2 linked regions of the Pelodiscus sinensis genome follow. The protein of the gene in region 1 interacts with the protein of each later gene in a pairwise test. Links are inferred from orthologs where the notes say so. Each region holds a gene or a part of one and is shown on either strand. Other genes may lie near its edges.

Region 1 (8,016 bases):
CGAGTAAATTACATTAATTGTGGAGCCCTATATATATATATATATACACTCACACACACACAGGGCTTGACAAACTATAGAATCTACTCGCCCGTGGTGAGTAGATTTCAGCTGCACGCCCCGTTTACTGGTGGCGTGCGCATGCGCAATGCGGCTCTTGAGAGCAGCTTTCTCCGCTGTTTGTCAAGCCTTATATATATATTACAGGTTAATATGCATATGTACACAACATAGGATGCCAGCACTGAGACAGATGCTATGGAATCTACCAAAAATTGCCATAGTGTAGAATTAATGTTAAGAATAATTACAGAAATATCCTCCGTCTTTCTAAGGCCCTGGTTCAGAAAAGCAGTACTTCAGCACAGCATTTGTGCATGTGCTTAAGTTCTACCTAAGTCAAATTAACCATATGCTTCAGCCATATGTTCCTCAACTGGGACCTAACGGTAAATTTTCCAAAAATGCATAAGGATATATCTACCCTGCTATATAAGCCCAGGGTTTGAACTTGGGTTCAAGCCTAACCCCTTTTCTGTCTTAACACTAATCATGACAACCCAAGACTTGGACTCAGGGTCACAGGACCTCTCAGGTGTGGAGGGTCTAAGCCTGAGTCAAGCTAGTTCAAGCCCTATTGCTTTGCAATATTGATGTTGCTTTCAATCTATCCTGAAAATAATTATCTGCACAATTATCTGAATTTGTGCTTTTGGGCTATGTCTACACTGAAAGGTTTTTGCGCAAAAGAGCTGGTTTTGGCGCAAAAACCGGTGGAGCATCCACACCTCAAGTGTATTTTTACACAAGTAAATCAGCAGAACAGAGGGCTTTTGCTGGTAGAATTATTCCTCTCCCCACGAGAAATAACTCCTTTTTGCGCTACAGCTCTTGCGCAAAAAGGCAGGTGTGGACACTTCAGAGGGGTTTTTGCACAAGAAACTCCTATTGGCAAAAGCACAAGTGCTCTGATGGCCATTCTGTGACCATGCAGTGTAGACACTCCTACACAAACGCACATCGCTTTTGCAATGCGCTTTGAGATCTGGACACGCTTTTGCGCAAGAAGGTTTTGCGGAAGCTCTCTTCCACAAAAGGCTTCTTGCGCAGAACCCTGCAGTGTAGGCAAAGCCTTGGAGTCCACCAACAGACCTACACGCCAACTTTCTTTATGCTTTGGACTATCACATTTCCCCTCATAGACCATGAACAAAGGGCTAGAGTGGTCACAATTTGGAGAGGTGCTAGGAAGTACGGCATACGGATAGTTGGACTTGGGCCCTCATAATCAGTGTAGGTGCTGCAGCCCCAGGTTGGATCCGAGGGCTCAGGAATCCCTAACTTGGGGTTACAAATGAATGTAGACACTCAAGCCCTTGTTTAACAAATCCAGGGTCTGCTAACTCAAGTTCTATTAACCTAGGGCTTATTGCTGCAATGTAGATGTACCCTCAGTGACTCTGGATATTCCTGTACTGCAGTAGGACACCTGAGGTCTGTATCAGCTGACATCCATTTGTGGGGTTTGGGTTTCAGGGCTATACAGTTGGGCTACGTCTACACTGGCCCCTTCTCCGGAAGAGGCATGCTAATTTCTAACTTTGGAATAGGGAAATCCGCGGGGGATTTAAATATCCCCCGCGGGATTTAAATAAACATGTCCGCTGCTTTTTTTCCGGCTTGGGGAAAAGCTGGAAAAGAGCGTCCAGACTGGCGCAATCCTCCGGAATAAAGCCCTTTGCCGGAGGATCTCTTATTCCTACTTGAAAGTATAAAGCCTACTTGAAAGTAGGAATAAGAGATCCTCCGGAAAAGGGCTTTATTCCGGAGGATCGCACCAGTCTGGACGCTCTTTTCCGGCTTTTCCCCAAGCCGGAAAAAAAGCGGTGGACATGTTTATTTAAATCCCGCGGGGGATATTTAAATCCCCCACGGATTTCCCTATTCCAAAGTTAGAAATTAGCATGCCTCTTCCGAAGAAGGGGCCAGTGTAGACACAGCCTTGCAATGTAGACATCTGATCTCTGGTAGGAGCCTGGCTCTGAGCCCCTTTCATCTCGTGCGGTCCCAGACCCTAAGCTCCAGCCCAAGCCCGAATATCTACTCTGCAGTCTACTTTCATAACTCCAAAAGCTGATGAGCCACAGTCAACTGATGTGGGCAAGATGTGGGTGTTTTATTTGCAGAGTACCAAACAGCTTTGCCTCACTCCTTGTCTGAGGACCTGGCCCTGCCTTCCCCTTCTCTGAGGCTCTGCCCCCTGCTCACTCCCGTCTACTCTCCCTCCCTCTCTCCCACCCTCACTCACTTTCACCAGGACAGGACAGGAGGTTGGGGTGCAAAAAGGGCGTGTGCATGCTCTGGGGTGAGGCAAGAAATGAAGATTTTGAGCTGGACTGCAGTGTGGTGCTGAGAGGTTCAGAGTGTGGGAGCGTGCTCCGTGCAGGAGGGGCCGCAGGCTCTGGTAGGGAGTTTGGGTGCGTGAGGGGGTTCAGGGCTGGGACAGGAGTCTGGGACATGGGAGAGGGTTCAGAGAGAAGGCTCAGGTCGGTGTTCATCTCAGGTGGCTCCTGGAATTGGTGTCATCTCTCTCAGGCTCCTAGGAGGAAGTGTGGCCAGGTGGCTCATACACTGCCTCTGCCTGCAGGTGCTGCCGTCTCAGCTTCTATTGGCCATGGTTCCCAACCAGTGGGAGCTACAGAGCTGATGCACGGGATGGAGGGAGCCCCCTATGTCTTCCCTCTGCCTAGGAGCCAGAGGGAGATGCCGGCACTTCTCAGGAGCTATGAGGAGTTGGGCAGGCATGCTACCTGCCTTGCTGCAGGTGGCCAACCATACTTTAAATGGCCTGGTCAGCGGTGCCACGAGGGTCCCTTTTCAAGCTGGTGTTCCAATCAAAAACCGGACACCCCGGCAACCCTCTGTTTGATTGCAGTGTAGGCATACTCTTTGAGGACAGATTTTCAAAGCTAGATGGGCATCTATTGGTTCAGATCAGCACTTTGGAAAATCCCACTAGACCCTAAGCAAGTTAGACACCAAACTTGCATAAATGTCAAGAGGACTTGAGCACTCTTGAAAATTTTCCCTATGCTAAGTCAGAAGCCCCACTCGGGCTCAACAGGGCTCACACTTGAAAATCACTTAGGAGCTTTTGAACATGCCATCCTCAGTATCTGGCAGGAGACTAGTTTAAAAGTCAACAGTTTTTGTTACAATTTCCACCCATAGGAGGTGGAAGGTGCAAGGCAGTGCTGCAAGGAAGGATCTATGTAACCTTGAACTGCACTGTGAAACATATTCTGTTGCAACTGTCAGAAAGCAGCAGTAATACCTCCTTCATCCTGCGAATTCCTCCTGAAGCTGATGAGTAAATGAAGGACTGAGGCCACAGAGGCTACATCTAGACTGCAAGCCTTTTTCAAAAGATACTTTTGAAAAAGCCTCTTTCAAAAAAGAGTGGCTAGACTACACCCAGTACTTTTGAAAAAGCAAGCTTTTTCAAAAGAGAGCACCCATGCAGTCTGGATGCTCTCTTTCAAAAAAGCACAGTTTGCATTACATAGCATCTTTTTTTCAAAGGAGCACTTTAAAAAAAAAGGCATTATGCCTCGTGAAACAAGGTTTTCCGTGATCTAAAAAACTGCTGCATTCTTTCAATTTACTTTCGCAAGAACATGGCAGCAGTCTAGACTCAGGGTACGTTTTTTTCAAAAAAAGGCCATTTTTTCTGAAAAAAACTCTGTAGTCTGGACACACCCTGATTGATCACACGGTCACAAACTTAACTCCTTTCATGTGAGAAAGACCTGCTGTATGCTTCCTTCCACTGTTCAGGTTTGCCCTGAAAAGGGGCTATTGTATAAGAGTTATAGTTTTGTAAGTACTAGCCTAGTGGAATAAAAACACAGGTAGTTTTACAAGCAATAATGAAACAGGAGCATTATTACATTTTTAATTTTAAACCCATGTATGCAGGACTGGCCTTACCATGAGGCAAACTGAGGTGGCCGCTTCAGGTGCCAGATTGTGGGGGGCGGGGGGCTCCACTAGGACACAGAGTGTAGAAAATTGTGTCTGCTGCTGGTGCATATGTATTCCATCTGCAGTACCATGAGAGGAGTAGAAGAGGAACAAGGCAGAATTGAGACCTTTCAAAGTTTTGGCCAAAGCGAGGAGACATGGGGGTGTCATTTGAGCTCCCCGCCTCAGGTGCCAAAATGTTGTGGGCCGGCCCTGCATGTATGTTTACAGTTAGTAAAGATGTGGCAAAGGGAGATATATGATTGGAGGAACTCAGGGTATGTCTACACTACCACCCTAGTTCGAACTGGGGTGGTTAATGTAGTCAATCGAAGTTGCAAATGAAGCCCGGGATTTAAATATCCCGGGCTTCATTTGCATCTTGCCAGGTGCCGCCATTTTTAAATCCCCAGTAGTTCGGACTCCGTGCCCGCGGCTACACACGGCACGGAGTAGGTAGTTCGAATTAGGCTTTCGAACGAGGTGTAATGGTAGTTCGAATTAGAAAGCCTAATTCAAACTACCTACTCCATGCCGCGTGTAGCCGCGGGCACAGAGTCCGAACTACCAGGGATTTAAAAATGGCGGCGCCCAGCAAGATGCAAATGAAGCCCGGGATATTTAAATCCCGGGCTTCATTTGCAACTTTGATTGACTACATTAACCACCCTAGTTCGAACTAGGGTGGTAGTGCAGACATACCCTCAGTGTGCTTTTTGCCCTCGTGGTACACTGGATGAGATGAACATTGTAAAAAACCAGAATGGTGATCAGAAGTTTTTCTACTGAAGGAGTGAGGCTCTCCCCACGTGTTCAAGAAAAATACATGTTAGTTTGAAAAAAAAAATGAAACGGAAATAATTCCAGTATAAGATGCATGCAAGATATGATGGTAACTGTGGTACCAAAAAGGGAAGATTTTAATGAAAGGCAGAAAGGAGCCAGGTTGCCCAGCCTCCAGCATTAATTCGTGAGCACTCCAGAACAAAGACTGATTTTTAATTAAAGACTGTGTCATGTGATGTCATGTCCAGGAATATGTCCTACCAAAACTGACAACCCTAAAAGGGTCCCAAGCAGATTCCGCTTCTAGAGGGCGTAAAATATCCTTTTGCAATCACTGCCTTTGCCTATGTAAATCAGGTGTGTTACTCTGTAACTTACACATGAAAGCCCCAGGGATGTGCCCACAAATGGTTGCTTGTGCAGAATCAGAGGGCATGTTTTTGCAAACTTGGCCCTCTATGTCTTCTTTACAAAGCTACTTTGCTGCAGTGTGCCAGGGAGCATAGCTCATCCTCTCCTCTTGCAAAAGGCTGAGCAGGCTTAGTTGCTACATTGTCGCCAGTGGTGGTGGGCACACCCCGGCTTTGCCCCGCCCTGCTTCTAAGCTGAGCTTCTTCAAATTCTGGGTACACAGGGTGCTTTACGTGTGTGCCTGGCTGGGAGTGCCATGGAAGCGGAGGCAGCAGGGATGGCTGAGAAGACTACTCTGCGCACCCCCAAGTGCTCCCGCTGCCGGAACCATGGCTTTGTGGTGCCGGTGAAGGGCCACACAGGCCACTGCCGCTGGAAGCTCTGCCCCTGCGACAAGTGTGCACTCATTACAGAGCGCCAGAAGATCATGGCAGCTCAGAAGGCAATGCAGGGGCAGGACCCAGATGCCTCACCCAGGGAGAAGTCACCACCTGTGCCCTGCACCCCGGTTCATGGTAAAGGTCGGAAGGTTCCTGCAGCTGGCCCCAGCGCCTCGGACCACAGCAGCCCCGGGGGCAGGTGTGAAGGAGCCAAAACCACCCCGGCAGCCAGCAGCAGCAGCAGAGCCAGGACCCGCAGGCCAGTACCCGCTTCCAGCTCCCCACCCTTTGGGGACTTTGGTAGGGACCAGCTCAGCATTGGGGTGCCTGGCCTATAGGCCTTCACTCAAGATGATTAACTTCTATCTCTGTGTCTCTCTGTCCATCTGTGTTCATCATTCAGTGTCTGTCCATCTATTAGTGGGTATTGTTTGGTTGGTGTTTGTTCATTCATCTTCCAGGCCGATCTAGTGCCTCAGAAACTGCTAGGTCCCAGGTAAACTGTTTCCCAGAATTGCTGGAGTTGCTCTCACTCCACTTTCCCATCCTGTTTCCAGGTGGGTGTGTGTGGAATGCAATGCTGCATTTATTTTTGGTTTTGCAAAGTTTCCAAGTTGTGCCTATGGACTTTGTAGCTACAGGAACTGCCCTCAGCACCTTCTCAGCTTGTTTCCTTGTTGCAAAGATGGATTCATGCAACTAGTCCTTGTTTAACAGGGAAATGAATCAGTGACAGGAATAGAATCTTGATATTTCAATACAATACCTTGAGCTCTTTCTTCTGAGCTGTGCTATTATTTTTAAATTTACAGACATGCCCTCATGCAAAAACAAAGGAAAAAACCCCACAGAACAACAGAAAATGCAGATTAATAGGGGGATTTCTGCTGGAGTCGTCTAGAGAAGGCATTTTATAGTGGCAACATAAAAAAAGAGGACACCTCCTGGATTGGAATTTGATGTTTCACAGACTAGATTTGTCGAGAACCAGTTGGTGTAAAATTTTGTGTATTTAAGAATGGAAAATAGAATGTAGAAATGGAAAATGCATATGGTTATTTAGGCCATTACTTCTGATAGTGTTCTCTACCGTAGAGTCTTGGGTGTGCCTTGTCTAATCCATTTTTATTATTTATAGACTCCCACTGACCACAGTAGCCATTATATTTGGCCTCAGGAGAACCAGCACTCTAGCTCAGTGTTTCTCAACCAGTGGTATAAGTACCCTTACGGATACTCGAGAGAAGTCTGGGGGTTCGTCAACACAACTGAAATTTGGAGAAAATTCTTGTTTTAAGTTTTACAGCACTTTATTATTTTTGTACTTTTTACACCCAAAAATTTCATCACCCGCCCGACTACGATTAAGTTGTTTAAACAAATGTGTTGCAATGGTAGAAAAAAAAATGTGTGTGTCTGAAAACAGTAGGTACTGGGGGTACTTATAATTTTTTTTTTAAAGGGGGTACTTTATAAAAAAAAAGTTTGAGAAACACTGCTCTAGAACATACAGGCCAGATGATCTGAGAGATGGAGAGGAAGGAGTCACTTTAGATAGCTCCAGCACAGCCTCGTCTACCAACAGTTATTTAATTTTTATGCTTATGGGCCTGACAGCGGAAGTGTTTTTAGGAGTGATTTGAATGGATGAGACCTTGATACAGATATAGTCTAGTCATACATGGTGGGAACTACACTACTTTGGAAGATCACTTTGTGAACACGATTCTTTTTTAATAGCAAAATACAGTGGTTCTTTGAAAATGAACTGTAAAAATGAGAGAGACCAGGTGGTTGAGGTCAATATCTTTTATTGGACTAACTTCTGTTGATGGAGCTTTGTGTATCACAGCTCTACAGGTGACCGGAGGAAGAACTCTGTGAAGCTCAAAACTTGTCCCTTCTACCAACAGAAGTTGTTCAATAAAAGATACTTCCTCACCTGCCTTGTCTCTCTTATTTTGGGACCAACACAACAAAAATACTGCAAACAACTCTAGAAATGCCAGCTGTCACAGGGTACAGAGCTTTTTATGTCCTCTCAGTGATTTCAGTATTAAATTTCACTTCATCTGTAAGTCAAGCTGCTACCACAGGAAACTAGAAATCAAGCCGTTTGTCATACTTTTGATTGCAACAGAAGCATTAAAGATCCTGCAATCAGAAGTTTTTTGTGCATCCTGAACCAAGTTGTCAGCATAAATTTGAATCATATTTGCTCTCCCAAAATTGTATTAACCCATCTTTACAGCACCCTCCTTTCCTCCTCAATCCTAATGTTTCAATTAAAAAATAATTGAATAAGAACTGAATATAAACCCAAAGGGCCAGATTCTGCCTTAATTTACACAACTGAGGACAGAATATGGAACCATGACTCTTTCTATTAACCTTCAAGCTGGTTGCAATGATATTT
Region 2 (7,254 bases), on another chromosome or scaffold:
TTTTTAAAGTGTGGACATCAGAACTGGATACACCATGGTCCAACTAATGCCTTGTAAAGTGATAATGACACTTCTCTATTTCTAAGCAATATTCTCATGTTTACAATAAACAACCATCCCTCCGCTTACACATGTAAAGTAAAGTTGCACCCCTCTTGTTTACTGGGAGTTCTCTGAGTCAGTAGAATAGTGGAGAAAGAATTCCACCTACTAATTCTTCTAGTTATAATTTAATGAAGTCTCTCACAAGGGGTAATTTAGGAAACGATGCAACTACTGGATGCGAGAATTTACTACTATAGATTAGAAAATGGTTAAGAATTAGAAAACAAAGAGTATGGCTGTAAAGTAATTTATAAAATGGAATGATATTCACAGAGAGATGCTCCAAGGATCCGTACTGGGATTGGGGATATTTACTGTGCTCACCAGTTTTTGGAAAGCATGGGTGTAAGGTCTTGTCTACACTAATCCCTGCTGTCGATCTAATCTATGTGACTTCAGCTATGCAAATAGGGTTGCCAGATGGTTTAAAAAAATACCAACCCCCTCTACCCCAAAAAAACCAGGAAAAAAATCTGTTGAGCTAAAAAAAAAAAAGGCTATGTAAATGTGTTGAGCAAAAAAAAAAAGGGACTGACCAGGGCTGAAACACAGTCATAGCCCCTTTAATTTCCAGTCTGCTCCACCCTCCCCCTGCCCTGGCCAGCCTGAGCTGACTCAACCACCCTTCCGTCCGATGCCCGAACTGGGAAAAACATGTCTGGTATTTTCTGAAGTTTTTTACCAGACAGAAGGTGCAAATACTAGGCTGTCCGGTTCAATACTGGACACCTGGCAACTCTTTATGCAAACAGTGTAGCTGAAGTCAACATACTTACCACAGCATCTTCTGTGTGATAAGGTCATTGGGAGTTGCTCTTCCATTGACTTCGGCTACTCTACTCATCCTGATGGAGTATCAGAGTTAATGGGAGAAAACACAGATTGATTTATCGCATCTAAGCAGATGTGATAAATCAATGGCCAGTGGATTAATCACTGCAGCGTTGATCCACCACGTCGTAGAGACAAGCCCTAAGCGGAGGAAGTAGGGAGGGAGAAATAGTGAGACGGCAACATCTGATCAACAATTGTTCTGGAAAGGCAAGACTAGAAAATCTTAAAAGGGGAACGGAGCAACAAGATGGCAGTTGAAATGTAGCATAGGTATGCGTGAGGTAATGCATATTGGGAGGAACAATTTGAACTACTTATATACACTGATGGTTTCTAAATTAACCACTCATGAAAAAGACTTTGGCATTACTGTGGACAGCTCAATGGAAACTTCTGCTCAGTGCACAGCAGTGGTCAAAAAAAGCAAATCAGATGTTAGACTGTTTTAAAAACTGGATAGAGAACAATACTGAAAATAGTAGACCACATTAAAATAAATCAATAGGACCTGCTCCTTTTAAAAAAAAGTTAGTTCAATTCTGGTCACATTATCTAGGTATGAAAAATATACAGGCAGTCCCTGGGTTACATGGATCCAACTTACATCGGATCCCTACTTACAAACGGGGTGAGGCAACCCCGCACTAGCTGCTTCCCCCCAGCAGAGCAGGGAGACGCGAAGCTAGCGCCCCCCTCCCAGCAGACCAGGGAGACGCGTAGCGGCTTTTCTCAGCAGACACCTCAGCTTGAGAATAAAGGACTGAGGGAAGTGAGGTGTGGGAGAATAAAACTGAGCTCTGGAGAAATGTTTGGCTAGAGTTTCCCCTACAATATGTACCAGTTCCGACTTACATACAAATTCAACTTAAGAACAAACCTACAGTCCCTATCTTGTACGTAACCCGGGGACTGCCTGTACAGCAGAAATAGGAATGGCCTGGGAAAGGGCAATGAAAATTATTACACGCATGAACAAACTTCTGTAAAGGGCCAGGTTTTTAAAGGATACCAAATCTGAGGCATTCAAAAGTAAGACTGCTTTTGTAAATATGGCCCATAACCTCCTGACACTTCTATTTACCAATTTTTAAAATGGGGTTAGTGATACTTACTTGTTTTTGTGACACACTTTGAGATTTATGGATGAAAAGTTATATAAATTATCATTATTATAAATAACTATTATTAATGACAAGTTAGAAAACCTGAAAGTAAAGACCATTTTGCATGGGAAAAAAATGAAAAGCCCGAGGCTTCAGTTTGTGTCTTAGTACAGAGCCTTATGTTAATTTTAGGTATTAATTCAGGTAGTCAGCTTCTAAGTTAATGACCACACATGCCTCGTTGAAAAATTGACCCGTGGCTTCTAGCCAGCAATATCCTCCCACCTCCTTGGTTGCTGTAGTAGATATACTTGCTATAAATAGCTGTCAGATTTGTAAACTGAACAGTGTTTAGTCTAAGTGAGGAAAGCGGGAACTGCATCTGTCCGGCAATGGAGTGGGTGTGGTTTGAGACAGCGTTGTTTTCTGCTGAGGATTTTTGTTTTTATTACCAAACCCTGCTATGCGTGGAGGATGTCACAAAGTCCTTCTGTCCCCCTTCTCCCCAGGCAATGAAACTGGAAGGGGAAAAAATGAATCAACGCAGTTTTATATAACTTACCAATATGTTTAGCATTTTCTGTACAGAGGGGAGCCAGTCAGAATGTGTAATTGTTTCTATAGAGAACTTAATTTTATTAATCCGAGGTTTGCTATGTTCTAGGCTTGTCCAGATCAGGGACAGACTGTGTCCTTGCCACATGACTCATACATCCTAAGCCCAATAAAATGTATAAAAAAATTGAAGTTATTCAGTGAAATGGCATTATTGTCCCCTTATAGAGAAGCATATGGGATAGTGGTTTGAGTATAGGACTGAGAGCCAGGAATGACTTAATTCTCGTTCAGACACACTCAAGCTGTCTGTGGTCTTAAGTCATTCGGGGATAGATTTTGACTAGTTTAATGGGACTGTGTCGGGGAGGAGGGTTGAGAAAAGGCCCTCTCCATGCAGCTGCTTCATGGTTCACTGGATTGTGTCTGGAACACAAGGAGAAGAGGAAGGCGCTATGTCTGAGTCTACCCCAAGCAATTGGGCGGGAAGAGGGAGACATAGTTGGCACAAGAGGGTAGTAAGGTGCACCTTCAAGAAGGGTGAAATATCTTGCTGGCCCATCTACTCAGAGCCAGAAGAGAGTAATACAGGAATTCAGTCCTACATACCTCTCCTTACTCGGGGGTCTGAGCAGACAGGTCCTTTGTCTTGCTTTTCCCTTGGTAGTTATGATGAGGATTGACTGGTTAATAACTGTAAAGTGCTCTGAAAATGAAAAGCCCGAAGTATTATCTCGGGGGGAGAAGGGGATAGATAAGTTTTTCTCACACAAAAGCATGTCTGAATAAAAACTAGCTGACTGCATAACCATTAAAATAGCAGGGGAATTTGCAATCCTCTCAAATCAAGCCACCCTCTCAGTAAGGCTACGATAACAGTGGCATTTGCACCTCCTTTATAATGATCGGTTCCACACAGAGGGAAGTCTCAGCTCCCTTTATTTGCTTTAGGTTGATGTCCCCCTCCCCTTGAGCCAAACTCTGCTATCAACTATACAGACTTTATTTCCCAAAGAACAGCCCCCTGAAGGCCTTTCAGACCTTATGAAAGGAGTTTTCACTCAAGTTAAAAGAGAACTGTGTGTTCTCTTGCTGTTTCTCTCTCTGTATGTGTGCTTTGTAAAAAGAGTTATAAATTAATCATTTCAACTTTGGGCAAGGAGTCTAGGTGTTGTATTTGTAGCCTGCACTTACATAAACACAGCAAGGGACAGTTAACTAATGAGTGGCTGGAGTGAGAAATGGAAGCTCTAAGACTATCTAAAACATTTAAACATATTTTCCACATAGGAGACCATGCGGTTGTTGCCTTTGCTTTCTTACAACAGAGACAAGTCAGTAAAAGTCCAAAGGAAAGACTGAGGTTTTACATTTCTGTTTGTGGTACAGGAAAAGGGTTACGATCTCAGTGGTTGATTCAGTGAAATAACATCTCCTTTATACACATCTGCCTAGCAAGTAGGGCGGTATTTGGAAATACCCAGGCTATAGCATTAAAGATTTGCTGGCAAATAGCAAAGGGATTTTCTGCCGAGGAAAAATTGTTATATTGAGTAGTCACTTTGCATGCTTAGGAGTTAACAGACAAATACCAAACAGCCTGGACTTACAGGGTATTTTTTATTTTGTAAAGTACTTAACATACTGTGAAGTGGCTCAGCTGCATTTTTTACATCCAAGATGTGACAGCAATGATTCTAAACAAGAAGATACAGTTGTTATTTGACTATGGTAAGTAATATCTTTATACCAAACTTTTTGGATCTCACTAATGTTCATTCTGAAGATGCAAATATGTTTCATTTACAAAGTGTTTTTCTTTGACAATTTAGATGAGAAAAGTAAATAGATAAAATGTAAAACCAGGGCAATTCTTCCTATATGAATTCTGTGCTTTTGCTTTTCCATTCTGTAATGCATATCTCATTTTACAGTGATAAGAGGGAGTTGGAATGAAATAGATGCTTATCTTTGGTTGTTGTTTGATAAATAGTCTCATGATAAAAGGGGAACATGTATATTTAGCCAGTCAGTACCTGGAAATAGGATGTTCTTACTTTGTTGGACAATATTTTCCCAGGAAAGCACATTTAAAAGTGTTACAAGCATGAAGGGACTTTCTGGCAAAGGAATCTTTCCTTAGCTGTAAAGGCCTCTTCAAGCCTATAACACTATGAGAAATACAGTAGAAACTAAACACAAAATACATCATCCACTATGCAAACAGATTTGAAAATCTATAAATTAGCCTTCTAACTAGTAATTAACCTTATTGAGGAGGATTTAGAGGAAAGATTTTTGGGAGCAGTTCTGCTAAGCTTTTGTTAAGACTCAGTGTCTTTTCCTGAGTAATTTCCGAGCCTTATTTCATGTCAACTGAGCTCTCTAGTCTACATTTTAAAATATTTTATTTTCCTTTATAGAAACTGTGCTGAAAAACACAAGCACATTTTAGCTTCTTAGAGAACAGGACAGAATTAGTATCTAATTATATCTAACCAAGCACATATGTGCAACCCCTTTTAAAATTACATTTTAATGTGATTACCTTTCACACTTTCAGAGAATACTTCCAAGCCAGCAGAGTGCAAATACACCAGCTCCCTGAGTCAGAGAGCAACGTTATCTTAGGCAGGAAATCAGTACATTGGTCCAGAAACTCAGCCTCAAATGGAAGGCATATTTGTTTAGCCATATGCTATAAGTATAATCCCTAGAACTGGAATCTTGCCAATATTATTAATGCAGAGTTCACTTGATAGTTCCATTTATTATGAGTCTTATTAGTACCCTCTTTATACAGCATAACTTTAAAGCATACCAAATAGTATATTAACTATATACTGCCAGTGGAGTGTGGCTGTAGAACTGGTATATCCAGTGCCATGATCACTCCAGTGTAAAGCAAACCTTCTGGTAATAGAAACAAAATACAGGACTTCTGGTAATACAAACTCAATGTAGAGGCTCCTCTGATACCTCTCCCTGCTGCTAGTGAAGGGGTGGTGGCTTTTGGAAAAGGGGGAGGGACAAATTATCCGCACCAATCCCTGGCTGGTGCTTTTGCTTTGTGGGGCTGTTAGCACCCAACACAGGTTGGAGCAGCTGCTCTAGTTTATGTGCAGTGCTGACCTCACATACCAGGGTTACTTTACACCAACTTTGCACCTCTAACCTCACCTCTAGCCAGGGATCTGAACCACTTTTTTACCCCTGCAGCATTTTGTATTGTTCTAGCCCATACATACATGATAGTATTAGATGCTCTGCATTTTTTGGAGTGATGACCTGTGAATTTACACCTAACAAGAAGATATTTTTAGAATATGGATGGTAATATTGGGTGGTCACTTAGTATCAAGTTGTCAAAATGGGCCTCTGCTTTGAATGTCCAGCTTAACAGAACATGATTTTTTCAGAGATGCCAAGCATCTAGAACTCCATTTGACTTCCTCTGAAGATGGGGGAGCTCCCTAACTCAGACCCAAGCCATCTCAAAGTAAACGCCCAAAAAATAGGCATCCCAATTTAGAGGACACTTTTTAAAGTTTGGCCTTAAACTCTCTATGCTACCGATCTTGTTGGTAAAATAACCTGAGATCCTCAGATGGAAGATGCAGCAGAAATACATGGTATTATTTCATTTTCAATGTTTAAAATGAAGTCACTATAGCAACACAAAAAGAATAAAATATTTTCCGTGTAGCCTCACTCTGTAAAGAAAGCATAATGATACCACTTTCCACTCTCCATGCACAGTGTGATGGGCTCTCTTCTGTGCCCCAAAATTTATGCCCAGGATCTATGGGACCAATGGGGGAAAAAATTCCTATAGTCAAGAATCCTTAACTCAGAACTTCTTGCCAATACCTTTGCTATACTTAACTCTCAGTACTGCTAGCACAGCTGATCTCAAAATGTCATGGTGGGGCAAGGGAGAGAGCCAGTCACTTGGAGGCTGGGACAATTGCATCCCTATAGGAAGCCAATAGAGTCTCAGGAGCACTGTTGTAATGCATCCTCTAGAGCCAACACTACCACTCAGCAGTTGCAACATGACATTCTGCACCTTATTATGCAGTTGCTTATTTGACACCTGTTGATGTTAGAGATTGAATCAGTTAGGTGGTAAGAACATCAGCCACTGAAGTCTTCGACACCACAAATAAAAATCACACACTCTGAGTCGCTTTATGGCTGTCATGGTATTAGAGAGCAAGGAAAGAAATGTAAATGTGAAGAGGTACAGAAAGAGCAGCTGAGTTAAATAATTTTACCTTTGCCAAGTGCACAGAATGTCAGACTCAGAACGTGGCTGCTACTAAATCCTTGCAGCTGAAATAACAACTGCTCCCCCAGATGCAGCAAATTCATCTTACCTAATCACAGACACTTAAGGGACAGGGGATTGCATAATTCCTCACCAAAGGGAGGAAATAATCAACAATGCTAATTAAAAAAAATCCTCCAATCAAAATACAGTAGAATATAGTACCTGTAGTTAGGTCTGACCCAAAGCTCCTTGAAGCTAATGGAAATCTTCCCCTGATATCAGTGAGCTCTGAAGCAGGACGGATTCCAGAACCCTCACTCAAGTGGAATAGTTTTTCACTTCTTCAGTTCTCCCATATGTTCCAGTGGGGTTACCTTAAAAGTA

Evidence for each region. The genes of interacting proteins can lie anywhere in the genome.
Region 2: the proteins of DMRTB1 (region 1) and IL16 interact in a two-hybrid assay, tested with the Homo sapiens proteins (2 studies listed by BioGRID). The two-hybrid records come from large-scale screens. The link is inferred for Pelodiscus sinensis from reciprocal best matches to the Homo sapiens genes DMRTB1 and IL16.

Annotation. Positions count from the first base shown.
Region 1 is NC_134719.1:10,761,786-10,769,801, forward strand, and holds the start of DMRTB1 (doublesex- and mab-3-related transcription factor B1), read left to right. Parts: upstream 1-4,979; 5' UTR 4,980-5,476; coding exon 5,477-5,900; intron 5,901-8,016.
Region 2 is NC_134724.1:17,991,946-17,999,199, forward strand, and holds the start of IL16 (pro-interleukin-16), read left to right. Parts: upstream 1-4,162; 5' UTR 4,163-4,328; intron 4,329-7,092; exon of another isoform or gene 7,093-7,254. UniProt on the Homo sapiens protein: Interleukin-16 stimulates a migratory response in CD4+ lymphocytes, monocytes, and eosinophils. Primes CD4+ T-cells for IL-2 and IL-15 responsiveness. Also induces T-lymphocyte expression of interleukin 2 receptor. Ligand for CD4.